2 linked regions of the Ovis aries genome follow. The protein of the gene in region 1 interacts with the protein of each later gene in a pairwise test. Links are inferred from orthologs where the notes say so. Each region holds a gene or a part of one and is shown in the gene's direction. Other genes may lie near its edges.

Region 1 (6,851 bases):
CTATCAAAGTAAAAAGAACACAGAGCAATAGAGTAAGCTAAATAGCATAATATAACCTAGGGTATGTGTATTTTGTAAATCAGAGTAAAGTTTGGGATATCACTCAGATTTTGCTCTACAACTTTTAGACACTCTAGAATGTTCAGTAATTCAACAAACTTGAAAGAACTGCCCAGTTTTTCACTTTAAGGAATTTCAAATATTACCACACTAAGATAAGGCTTAGTACCCTCTTAATTATATTTCACATAAAGCATAAAAGACAACACAAATTAGAAGAGAGGTTAGAAATCAAGGTCACATAAAATATTCTTCTCTCTACTATCAACATTCATCCATACATTCCACATTTATTTAAGAAGTATCAGTTGAAGGTTTTGAAAATGTTTTGGAAATAGTGGTGATGCTGTACATCATAAATGAACTTTAGGTTCATTTAAGTCACTGAATTGGACATTTTTAAATGGCAATTTTTATGTCATATATTGATCACAACTTTTAAAAATTAATACCGTAATACACAAAAAAACCCATTGAATTGTATCCTTTAGATGGGTGAATTGTATGGTATATGAATTATATCTCAGCAAAACTATTAAAAAAAAAACAATCCAGGTGTCCTGCCAGTAGCGTTTCTTGGAATATGATTTCGCTTATGACCAAGAGATGATCACAGCTGTCCATGTCCTGGGTTTCTACCTTACTCATTTGAATAATAAATTTACCTGTCACAAAAATCTCTAAGCTACTGTCATATTCTAAATTCATCCACCATGCTAGCAGTCATCAGTTACTCATATGCCAGGCACTAAGCTCAGAGTGAGAGACTCTGGAGAGACAAAGATGATTACAGCACAGCCATGGGACTGTCCTTGGAAAGGGAAACAGTAAAGAACAGAACAGGGTGACCGAGGTGGCTCAGAGAGAAAGAATCTGTCTGTCAATGCAGGAGATGGGGGTGGGAGGGGGTGGGGGGTAGGGGTGTTGGGAGGGGTTGCTGTTCCATAAATCCCCAGGTCAGGAAGATCACCTGGAGAAGGAAATGCAACCCACTCCAGTATTCTTGCCTGGAAAATCCTTGGACAGAGAAGCCTGGCGGGCTAAGTCTCAAAACTGAGTCAGACACGACTTAGGGACTAAACAAACACAAAGAACCAGAAAAGGCCCCCAGAGAAAGGATCCTAGCCCTGCCAAATGGGTGGGAAGACCAGGGAAGCCCACGCTTTAAAACTTGAGAGAAAGGAATTCATCCATTGTCATTTTAAACTTATACATACATTTAATTATCAGGACCATGAGATCAAACTGGAAAATGATCATTACGAAGAAAAATTCCCTCTATTTCAGCACACAGGTTTTAAAATGTAAGTAAAACCGATGGAAAAACAAATTCCAATTATTTTCACTGATAAGGACAATGTCACTTACTTGAAAGTTTACAGGTCTTCAGGGCAAGTTTCTTGAGACTCTAGTGACACATCCCTCAGCATAATCATTTTAAATCCCTGTCCTAGCAACTCAACATCCATGTTTCAGAGTAGGACTTTAAAACGTTTCCACTATTTATCTAATCCCAGCTTGAATTTTGCTTTAACTTAGGTTTAATCGTACTGGGGACTATAATGGTTTATCCAAGCTAAACCTAAGTCGGTTTTAAAAATTACTAAGGTATTCAGTTTCTTTTCAGCAAAGCTCTAGGTAAGGCCAGCTATTGAACAAACTTAACAAAGAGGTGTTGACGGTGTCCGCAGGATCAGCACCGGGACCTCTGGCAAAGTCTGTCAGTTAGCTCTCTGAGCCAGGTGTTCCCAAATGTGAGGCACAAAAGACGCGAATAACTTTTCCAAGGAGCATTTTGCAATGAGTACCGCAAGCCTCTCTACACAACCAAAAAACCAGACGAAACAGTGTTCAACGAATCGTTTTTTGTAATAGGTAAGAACCAAAAACCACCTGTTTGTTCACCATCGTGAAGATAATCCGCGGAGTGAATCACAGTCCTGTCACTCAGCAAGCTTGGAGCCCGGTCAGGCGCGGAAAACCTGGCACCAAAGCACCCGTTCGCGGCCAATAAAAACGATGGAGACAAACATCAGCCGCGCGCAGACGCGGGGGATGTATTGGTAAGACAAAGAAGCCAGGCTGCAGCACTTTGTGATCCGAGTTCTGCAAAAATACAGCCGGCTCATTTTTGCAGGGAAAAGGGCACTGGAAGGAAAGACACCTTAATGCGAGCCCGGTGCTCCCCGGGAGCTTCCCGGTGACGTCTGCTCCACTTTTCCGACTGCGACAAAATGAATTGATAGTCAGGCAGAGGCCGGAGCCGCGGGTTCCAGGGCCTGGCCGGGCAGGAGCAAACCGCCGCCCGGCCGGGTCTCTGGGAGACGCCCGGAGACCCCTCCCCACCTCCCGCGCGGGCCTAGGCCTCACCGCGGGGTCGCACCGCCGCCAGGACACCGCCCACTGCCCAGCACGCCCGCCGCCGCCGTCGCCGCCGTCGCCGCAGCCGGGAGATGGCGGCCGCTCGCACCGCGGCGGGGGCGCCGGGCGCTGCGCACAGGGCCTTCCGGGCCGGCCGCGCCGCCCCACCTGGGCAGCGAGGCTCACCTGGGCGCCGTGGGCCTCTGGGGGCTCAGGGCCCAGAGACCGGTGGGTTCCGCCGACTGGACCTCCTAGGCCCTTCACCGAGAACCAGACGCAGCCTCCGTGGAAGCGAGAGCTCCGGGCGCGCCGACTGTTTGTCGCGCTTTAGGTCCCCGAGGTGCCCAGCGCCGACCGCCGCCCGCCCCTCCCCCGCGCGGCGACCAGCCCCGCCCGCGGTCCGCGCGGCAGGCTTTGCACTCTTACTCCTTCCCGAGACGCCTCCGTAAGAACCAGCTGACAGCGGGCGCTGGCTGGACGCGGGAGTGAACCGAGTGGGCAAAACCAGACCTTGCATGCTCTGAAGCCACGGGGCAGGTAAAAACGATCCTAGCATTGTCTCCTTGAAGCTCTGTATGGCTTCTGATTACTCCTAGAAAGATCAAAACTCGTTAGGATGGGCATGAGGCCCCGTGTATGATGTTGGCCCAGTCTCCCCTGGCTTCGTTTAGATAGATCCTCGAATGATGTGAAGTCCTTCAGCCCAGGGCCTCTGCAGATGCTCTTCCCTTTGCCTGGACGCTCCTCCCTGCCTCTTCCCTTAGTTAACTTCCGTTGAGATTGAGATTGTTCGTCAAATGTCATTTCCTAAGAAAAACTATCCTAAGGCTTGCAACACCTGGAATTCTCAGTTCTGTTCAAGTTGTGCAAATATTCGTGTAATCTTTGTTGAATGTACAGCATAATAGGGTTTCCTCGGTGGTTCAGCCGTAAAGAATCTGCCAGCAATGAGGGAGACCTGTGTTGGGAAGATCCCCTGGAGGAAGCACCACAGCCCACTCCAGTATTCTTTCCTGGAGAATCCCATGGACAGAGGAGCCTGGCGGGCTGCAGCCCATGGGGTAGCAAAGAGTTGGAGGGAGCATGGCTCCCTCGCAGCTTAATAGTAGGCTGAGGTCTGTGAAGTCAAGGACCACTGCTGCTTGGTTCTCACTGTAGCAGCTCCCACGTCTGCACAGTGCAGGCTCCCACTATGCTCTGATAAGTGTTGTTGAATGAATGAAGAGTAGACCTGAGTAATGTTTCAGGTGGCCTTGATTTTCATTAAGGAAGAGACAGCAATCACTGCAGAGGAGGGGATGGGTGAGTGGGCCATCTGAAAAGAGCAGTGAGTGGTCCCCGTGAAAAATGGGTTCAGCAGCAAAACAAACATGTGAAAGGGTTCTCTGGGGGCTCTGAAGATTGGAGGGCAAAGGGACATGCAGGTCCCAGTGTGTATTTCTTCCCTCAGCCTGGTGTTAAGGTAAAGGATTGTTTCACCTCTGGGATTGGTAGTGAGGATGCTGAGCAAGTATCTGAGAGAACAGCAGTTGAGAAACAATAAAGAAGAATCTGTTGATTAGGTTAACTAGTCTTCAAAGTAATGGACTGAATTCCTAGGGAAATTATGTTACAGGGATTCTGCTTAGAGAGCACTGATTTCTTGTTTGCTCTTGTATTGAAAGCTCCCTGGAGACAAAGACTTTTCATATTTGTATTTTCTTCTGCACTAGTGTCTTGAATAGAGACTTTTCAATAAATGATGATTGAAAGAATGAACCAGGGAGATAGAGAAGAAGGCAAAAGGCCCCAGAGTGGAAATTTCCAGAAATAGATGAAGATGCATCCCTAATTCCTTTTTCTTGTCCTTAGATCTTCTGAGAAACACTTGTGAATTGTTGGGTGAGGGCCAGGAAACCCTGGTTGGGCAGTAGCTGAAAAATATTGTTTAGTGAAGGATCATATTTTCTTGTAAAACTTTGGGAATCAGAATATCTTTTATAAGACCAATAAGGTATAATTTATTGAATGCTTGCTTTGTGCCTTGTATAGTATTGCCTGCAGTTCTCACAACAGTCCAGTAGTTATTCCCATTTTACAGAGACTCAAAGCCCTACAGAAGTTGCAGGGCCAGCCCATGAAGCCAGCCTGTAGAATTTTAGAAGGTCATATTATCAGAGTCTGCTGTTATTCAGATCCTGTCTTGGGGGTCTGGGGAGTCCCTAGCTTAAGGGCCCCAGAGTGCAGAGGGGCTCAGCCCACTCATCAAGTGCATTCAAGTCTGTCCCCTGAATAGGTGAGGCAGTCTCATTTTGCCGCTGGCTTATTCTGCGCCAATGTTTCCTTCTTGGGTATAGTTTCTGGGGCATCTGGAATTAAGGAACTTACCAGTCTAGGCTGTCTTTTCTACCTACGTATTCCCTGGGCCCAGCACACTGGAGGTAGGCATGGCCACTTGTTATCAAAGAGGCTTGTTAGGAAAAGAAAGTGTGAACAAAACACCATGAAAGGTGTTGACCTGAGTGTGAAACATACTCACCTGGTGATCCTGCTCTTGACTTTATTTCCACTTGCAGATTGTTTTCTTGTTTCCCTAGAAGTGCCTGGATGTTTGTTGCTCTAGCCTCTCAAACTACTTCTCACCAGCCCACCCACAGACGTCAGTGATTTATTTTAAGAGAGCGCCTAAAACTGCTTTCATTCACAGTAGTCTATGCTTTCATTGGGCCTCCTTTGGAAAAGGGAATTGTTAATGAATTAATGGATTTTCTGAAATTACTTCTTAAACAGCAAGAATGGACATCAAAATTAAAGGGAAAAGTTACATCACCTGATACCTACAGGTTTAAAACTTCCCACGTGCCCTTCCAGTATTGGTCCAGCGTGACTGTTGGCTCTGTGTGAATGGAAGCTGCGCAGAGACGTTCAAGAGCCCAGGATTCTGACTCAGCGGACTGTGTGTCAGCGTGAGTCCAGTAACCAGGCTCCTGCTCCAGCCAGGCTGCCGCTGCTTGGGCCTCTATCCTTCAGCACAAAGAGCCTCTGGCTCTCCCGACATAAAACACAGAAAGTGGAGAAGGATCAGTCAAGATGAATTTATAAACTTCACACCAGAAACATTTGACAGTTTTAGGAGAAAATAGATTTTGTTCTGAGTCATCTGGAGAGTGGGGTTTATAGGTTCACCCTTACTTAGACCAAAGAACCAAGGGAAGGCACCTTTAAAGTGTCTAAGGAGCATTCCGAGGCTTGTGTTTCAATTACTTAAGACAAAAATCTGCATCTGGTTTACTTTGAGAAATTTCCAGTAGTCATGTATGTATGTGAGAGTTGGACTGTGAAGAAGGTTGAGCGCCGAAGAATTGATGCTTTTGAACTGTGGTGTTGGAGAAGACTCTTGAGAGTCCCTTGGACTGCAAGGAGATCCAACCAGTCCATTCTGAAGGAGATCAGCCCTGGGTGTTCTTTGGAAGGAATGATGTTAAAGCTGAAACTTCAGTACTTTGGCCACCTCATGCAAAGAGTTGACTCATTGGAAAAGACTCTGATGCTGGGAGGGATTGGGGGCAAGAGGAGAAGGGGACGACAGAGGATGAGATGGCTGGATGGCATCACCGACTCGATGGACCTGAATCTGAGTGAACTCCAGGAGTTGGCGAGGCCTGAAGTGCTGCAATTCATGGGGTCGCAAAGAGTCAGACACGACTGAGTGACTGAACCGAACCAACAGAAAAATGCTTATATTCCCACCACCAGAATTGACCATTCTTAAATATTGGCTCAGTAGAAAATCCCAATGAGACTGTGCAACTCAGGTTGGATCTTGAACCTGTGGCTTTTTAATTTAGATCACACAGTGGGTCTCAGGACGTAATGAAGCTCAGGTTCTCGATGCAGAAAGAATAAAATGAGAGGCAAAGTGATAGATAAGTGAATTTATTTGGACAGAAACACAAGACTTCCCTGGTGACTCAGACTGTAAAGCCTCTGCCTACAATGTGGGAGACCTGGGTTCAATCCCTGGGTCGGGAAGATCCTCTGGAGAAGGAAATGGCAACCCACTCCAGTACTCTTGCCTGGAAAATGCCAGGGACGGAGGAGCCCAGTAGGCTCTGGTCCATGGGCCCGCAAAGAGTCGGACACGACTGAGCGACTTCATTTTCACTTTTTTTTTTCACTCCACAGACAGAGTGTGGGCCATCTCAGAAGATGAGAATATCCGAAATATGGTGTGATTAGTTTTTATTATCTGGGTAATTTCATAGGCTAATGAGTGGCAGGATTATTCAACTATTTCAGGGAAGGAGTGAAGATTTCCAGGAATTGGGCACTGCCTACTTTTTGGCGTTTTATGGTTAGCTTGGAACTCATGGTGCTGTTGAGTGTGTCATTTAGCTAATGAATAGAATCAGTGTATAGTGAGGCTTAAGGTCTATTGGAAGTCGAATCTT
Region 2 (6,851 bases), on another chromosome or scaffold:
TCTCTTCCTTCAACCTCCTCCCCAAGAGTCATAGATGGAGCTGGACCTAGAAAACCTCAGCCTCAGACCATGGACTGGTTTTTACTTCTTGCAAGGAGGACCAAGATCCCCTGCACCCACCACTCCTTCCCTGGGAGCCTGCTCCCCTCCGTACATCCTCCTTCCCACTCCTACACTCCACCCTCCTCGAAAGGCAATGCGAGAGGCTCCTCATTCAGAAGAAAATGTTTCTTCCTTCTGTCGTTGCCATGGAGACTGCTCTCCTTCACCTGCCCTGTCAGTCACGGAGCTGAGGGAGGGGGACCAAAAGCTCCAAGCAGGAAGGGCCTCTGGGGCATCACCGCCTCCACCCTGACCCTTGATGAGGCCATGGAATCCAAGGTTAGGAATTCAGGTTTCAGAGTCAAATCTCCAGGATTTAAGTTGCAGCTCCACCCTCTGTTCCATCTTGGGCGAGACACCTCACCTGTCTGAATCTCAGTTTTGTCATGTGTAATGGGAATAAAAATAGCTCCGACTTCATAGTGTTGCTGTGAGGATTAAGGAAGATTAAGAAAAGGAAATGCACGTAGCACACACGTGTAAGGGCCCGACATATATAAGCTATTGTATCAAGGCCTGTGATGGACGTGCCAGGCACTGGGACAGGCAGACAAGCGTGGATGGACAATGGAGAAAGACAATCCAATTGGAGAGGCTTTGTTTCCAAGTGCGTCATCTTCCCTGAGTCTTTCACACACGTTCAACTTAGTTTCCAGAAAAAATAATAACCCTTTCTTTTCCCCTTCATCTTTCACTGGAAGAGGACAATGAATGAAATTCCCTAATTACAATAACAAATTCAACAAGCATACCAGAAGTGTGGGAACAAACACTTCAGATGCTTAGGAAACAACTAAGCTGGGGAAGAAGTTGGACATGTAAAACAGAGCAGGGTTTTTCAAACCATAGCTCAGAACTCTTAGCGAACTGCTGAAAAACGAACGCAGCAAGTTGTCACCAGCATTTTCAAAAGATGAAGTACTGAACAGAAATTATGTCAAAGCACCCCACACATTGTCAAGTATTGTTTCAGGAAGATTTCGTTTCAGTTACACATAGGTATGTGTGCTGGGGGGCGGGGGTGGTCTCACCTGGGTCCTGGGTCCCCCAAACATGATGTTCTTTGTGGAAGAAGATCCCCACCCCCAAATACACACATACACACACACACACACATTCTTTGATGGTGAGCTCATTCTGTAGGTCTCAGCTTTAAGTGACATAATTTTTGTGTCATAATTCTCTTTGATGAATTGAGGACTTGTTATTTGACTCATCCATGTCCGTCTCTCCCCCACACACCAGGTTTGAGCTAGTTCACCAAGTTAGTTCACCTGTTTGGTTCACCTTTGTGGATCATTGTCAGCACAGAGCTTAATCTATCAGACACAAGTAAATAATTGGAAGGACAGGTGAGGGGAATGAGGAAGGAGAAAAGGGGGGTTGAGAGACACCAGCGTGACCTTGTTGGAGCATGTTGGTTTAAGGTGCCCACAGCACCCAGGAGGAGAAGGGGATACAGGTGCTGATTTAGCACAACTGTGGGGAGAGGTGCAGGCTGAGGAGAGGCCATGTGCTATGCTGGAGAGGCTCATGGACCCTGGTCCCAGGGTGACAGAGTTTGAATCCTTGCTGCATATAAACCGGAAAATTGAGGTCCCTCCCCATCTCCATTTCCTCATCTAGTCCTAGGCTGCAGCGAGGGGCTCTTGAGTCCCTCCTATAAAGTGCTTGGAAATTAGTACCTGGTGCATAGTGCATGCATGCGTGTGCTCAGCTGTGTCCAGCTCTGTGCTGTGCTTAGCGGTTCAGTCGTGTCCCATAGACTTGCGACCCCATAGACTATAGCCTGCGAGGCTCTTCTGTCCATGGGATTCTCCAGGCAAGAACACTGGAGTGCGTTGCCATTCCCTTCTCCAGGGGATCTTCCCAACCCAGAGATCAAACCCATGTCTCCCTCCTCTCCTGCATTGACAGGCAGATTCTTTAATCACTGCACCACGGCCAGGTGCATAGTAAGTGACTCGTTTGAATCGGTCTCCTCCCATGGGAAAAGTCCCTTTACCAGGGTTTGGGGGAGATGACCCGGAGGTGAAGAACAGAGTTAATGACTGACCTTCAAGAGACCCATAAGTTGAAACTCGGGAATGGAGCCGGGGGTGGGGGGGTGGGGGGGGGGGGGGGGGGGGGGGGGGGGGGTGGTGTATGGGGGGAGGAAAGGTTCCAGGTGAGCAGGGCGGTGAGGAAACGGAGTAGGGACTACTTTGAGGGGGAAGGAGAGGGGGCTTTCTAAATGGTGAATTTTTTAGCTCGGATGCTAAAGGGAAGGGGGGAGGCACTCAGCTGGATAGAGGGGATGGTCAATGGGACAGGGTTGGGGGTCGTACTTGGAGTGGGGGTAGGGGGCTGGGGGATGCACTCAATCTGTCCCCTCTCCCAAGATGGGTTTTCCTGGGGATCCGTGCGGATGGCAAGTTTGGGGAACTGAAGGGCAGTCTCAGGAAGGCAGAGGGTCACGAGGGAAGTTTGAAACAAAGTTTCCACAGCAACCCAAGGCTCCGAGTTCCCAGCCCAGGCTCTTTCTGACAAAACCACTGAGACCTTCAGGCAGGATGGGAGGGACCCTTAGGAGCCGGGGACCCCGCCTCGCCCCGCCCAGTCAGGCCAGCCAGAACCCTTTATAAGTTAAGGATGGGGTCCAGTGGCCCGAGACCGAGGGTCAGTAGGTGGCGCCGGGGCTGAGCCGGCGCGGGCTACGGATTCTGCAGGAAACTCGGGCGGGACCCATAGATACAAAGGGTCCTCTACGCCCGGCTCCCTGTCCAGCGGGCCTCCAGAGGATGAATGGGGATGGCTAGGCCAATCCGAGAGCAGGATTCACAGCCGCTGGCGCAGGGGCCAATCGGATCCCTGGCGTGGCCGCGAGGCGGGGACAGAGCCAATCAGCTGTGAGGACAGGACCAGGGGGGCGGATCCGCGCGGTGTTTCAAATCGACTGGATGGGCGAGGAGCAGCTATGCACGTCGTCTGGTCAGCCTCGGGAGCTGTTGGGTGAGTGCGGGCCGGGGCGTGGTGGGGTTCTGTTCAGAAGGGACGGGAGCAGGTGGGGTGGGGGACCCCTAGTTAGGACGGGCACGGCATGTGGGGCTTCTGGGTACAGCCGGATGGACATCGGGGTGTCTGGTCAGCCCACCTCCGCGCATTGGGTCAAGGCGAGCTCGTGAAAGAGTCCCTAGCCCAGCCTGGGCCAAGTGCTGAGGCTCAGCGACGGCCGGCGGGTCCTGACTGCCTCCCTCCCAGCCTGAGGCAGATAACGGAAAGTAGCCTGGGATGAAAAGACAGTTAATTCAGACACTCACAGCAAGGGACGCCTTGCTGGCCGGCCTTGTCCAGACTCTGCCCTCTCCCGGGCCTCTATGACCTCACTTCTAGGAAGAATTCCTCCCCACGGTTGACAAGCGACCCACCCCATGGGCCCCAGGACTGGAATCTCTTTCTCTGGTACCCGGTGTCTCACTGGATCCTGGGAGTGGGATGGGGGATACCCTGCTGATCTCCCATTGATCTCCTCCCCAGGGTCTGTGGGAACAGAACAGACTCTTGAACAGTCAGATGGCTTCTCGGTGGCCAGCTGTGGGGGCTTCCCTGCGTCGGAGGTCTCTCCAGAACCAGGAACGGTTGGAGGAGAGCGAGGCCCTGCAGCCTGTAGCCGGCCACCTGGACACCTCCAGCGGGGCCCTGGGCTCCCTGCGCAGACAGTTCCAGAGGCGGCTGCCCCTGAGAGCAGTCAGCCTCAACCTCGGGGTGGGCCCCTCCTGGAAACGCCTGGAAACCCCAGAGCCAGGGCAGCAGGGCCTCCAGGCTGCAGCTCGCTCAGCTAAGAGCACCTTGGGTGCCATGTCCCAGGTAATGCCAAGTATGGATGTAGGGCTTCCTTGATGCTGAAAAATGGCTGCCCCCAAAGATCTCCCAAGAATATAGACTCTGTGAAGACAAGGTCCTTGATTTATTAGTGTCCCCAGCTCTCCAAACAATTCCTGGTACACAGTAGTGCGTGCACGCTAAGTCGCCTCAGTCATGTCTGACTCTTTGTTACCCTATGGACAGTAGGAGCCAGGCTCCTCTGACCATGGGATTCTCTAGGCAAGAATACTGGAGTGGGTTGCCAGGCCCTCCTCCAGGGGACCTTCCCAATCCAGGGATCGAGCCCATGTCTCATATCTCTTCTGCATTGGCAGGCGGTTTCTTTACCACTAGCGCCATCTGGGAAGCCCATGGCACCCAGTAGATGCTCAACAAATAGCTGAATGAGTGAATGAAAACAGGGTTGTGGAGGAAACAGAACATCATGAGACAAGATGAAAGAGCTATACTGTGATAGGAAGTTGCTAATTAGCAAAGGGCTAATGGTGGGGGAACACCAAAAACAAGCTTAGTCAGTGAAGGTGACTGGAGGAGGTGACTCCATGGAATTCGCCCAGGAAAGGGGAGGTATGAGGAGGTATGAGGAGTGTACAAGACAGGTGAACTAGTCCAGACCCAGGGTTAAAGGAGAGCAAGACGCTGAAAAGAACTGGCAGGAACTTAGTCTGGGTATGGCTGGAGGACAGAGAGCAAGACAGGGCGTGAGAAGGTAGGGCACGTGCCGAACATGTTTAGAATTATTTCACTGTCTCCTGGGGGTAGGTGTGGTCTCCCCCAGGCCTCCCCTTTGAGTCTGGGTCAATCTGTCCAGAAAGAGGGTTTGGATTTAGACCAATGCAGGCTCCATGAGCCAGAGAGGTTATGCTGCCGCCCATGCACTTATCCCTGGGGGCCTGAGCTGGGTCCCTGCTATGGACCTGTGGCCTCATGGACTCATCTGCATCCCTCACCCTGAGCCTAAAGGCTTCCTGGGTCTGTAGGACCAGCTGGTGGGCCGAGGGGTTGGGGGATGCCCTGAGAAATCGGGTAGCTCACTCCTGGCTTGTCCACTCTGACTTTTCCATGCACTGGTCACAGAGGATCCAGGAGTCCTGCCAAAGTGGCACCAAGTGGCTGGTGGAAACCCAGGTGAAAGCCAGGAGGAGGAAGAGAGGGGCCCAGAAGGGCAGTAGCCCCCCAGCTCGCAGCCTGAGCCAGAGGAGCACCCGGCTATCTGTGGCTGCCCCTGCCCACTCAACCCTGGACCCCCGGGAGAAAGAGTACCACCCCCTGTCTGTCCAGATGGGCCCCCATGCCCACCCTTGGCAACGGTCCAGAAGGGAGGCTGCCTTCCGGAGCCCCTACTCCTCGGCAGAGCCCCTCTGCTCCCCTAGGTAAGTGGGGTAGTGCCTGCCCCTCAAATGCTAACTGGGCCCTGGGGGCTACTGAGCACCTTCAGGACACCCTGAGCTGAGCCACATCCATGCTCTGGCTCAGCTCTGTGCCCCACTATGGGGGACCTGGGGAGGTCCTTTTGGGCCTGAGTTTCCCCACCTGCCAAAGGAAGAGGCGAGCTTAACTCTAAGAGTATCACAGTCACCCAAGCTCCACCAAAAGTTTTTGAAGCCACCTGGCAGGGTCGGGGGGTGGAGGCTTACCTGTCTGCAGGATCATCTATCCTTGACAATGGCCTCAGCTGTTCTCTGCCATCTGCTCCGAGCCTCTCTGACGACACTTCCTAGAATGGGGGTCTGGGGTGATCAGTTCCCAGCCCACACTGGTCATCTCTGGGGCCTGTACACCAGGTCCCAGTGCTGGGTTAGAATAGGCTCCTGCCACAGGTTTCCAGCTAGTGACTGATATGCACAGCTTTTCCTTCTGTCCAGTGAGTCCGACAGTGACCTGGAGCCCGTGGGGGCAGGAATCCGGCATCTCCAAAAGGTGTCCCAAGAGCTAGATGAGGCCATCGCAGCAGAGGACAGGTGAGCCAGCTTACCGTGCTTCGAAGGACATGGCCAGGAGAGTCCCCTATGAGCCAGGCCACTTTTTCAGGCAGGTCTCTTGTTCAGACTCTGCTGTGTGAGTCTAACCATCTCTCTCCCTCTCTGAGCCTCTGCAACATGCCTTGGTCTCCTCCTTGATCAAATACTTAGGTTGGGGTGGTAGTTAAGGACACACCTAGATGGATGTGGCCCCCTGGGCCTTGGGCCCCAAAATGTGTCCATCACATGTGACCGGGTACCTGGTTCCTGAAAGATCCACCCTTCTTCCACCACTCACTCTCCATGGTTCCTCTCCACCGTGCCCACCCTGGAACTGGAGAAAGCCGCGTGGCTGCTGTGAAATGCCTGGCCTGTCTGCTTAGGACCCTGTCCTGGAGCAGCACCTGGGCCTGGAGCTGCCCTAACTGAGGTCATACGTACGTGGCTGTGATAGGCTCTGAGGCGGGGCCCCGCTGGTGCTGACTACATGCCAAGTGGGGCATGTACCCACCACACTGCCAGTTCTGGTCTTGTCTAGCCTGGGTGGGGAGGGTCCCTCAGAGCCTGCAGCATGCAGGACAGATCAGCAGCACCTGTCCCCACTGCTCTCCCATCTCTAGTGGCGACATGACTGTTTCTCTCATCCGAGACTGAGGACAGCGCCCTTCAGGTAATGCCCTCCTTCCAAGTCTCTTTCTCAGAGCTTTCTTCTCCCTCCCCCTCCTCCTCCTTCTCCTCTTCCTCCATGAGCTCGTAGGCATATCTGGAACTGAGTCTTTGCTGGAAAAAGATGTAGAGTTGATGGGCCCCACAGAGCCGAAAGCATGCAAATCTTCGGGAGCCAGGACTGTGGCTAACCTCACTGAGCCCATCACTGATGGAGCACACATGGGGCATCCCCAACAGGCACAACCACTTTCCAGA

The links.
Region 2: the proteins of CEP70 (region 1) and PIMREG interact in binary tests that used the Homo sapiens proteins (3 or more experiments, as listed by UniProt). The two-hybrid records come from large-scale screens. The link is inferred for Ovis aries from reciprocal best matches to the Homo sapiens genes CEP70 and PIMREG.

Annotation. Positions count from the first base shown.
Region 1 is NC_056054.1:251,157,587-251,164,437, forward strand, and holds the start of CEP70 (centrosomal protein of 70 kDa), read left to right. Parts: upstream 1-2,868; 5' UTR 2,869-2,958; exon of another isoform or gene 2,959-3,157; intron 3,158-6,851.
Region 2 is NC_056064.1:25,302,650-25,309,500, reverse strand, and holds the start of PIMREG (protein PIMREG), read left to right. Parts: upstream 1-3,058; 5' UTR 3,059-3,093; intron 3,094-3,618; 5' UTR 3,619-3,654; coding exon 3,655-3,948; intron 3,949-5,043; coding exon 5,044-5,339; intron 5,340-5,831; coding exon 5,832-5,927; intron 5,928-6,547; coding exon 6,548-6,581; 3' UTR 6,582-6,597; intron 6,598-6,851. UniProt on the Homo sapiens protein: During mitosis, may play a role in the control of metaphase-to-anaphase transition.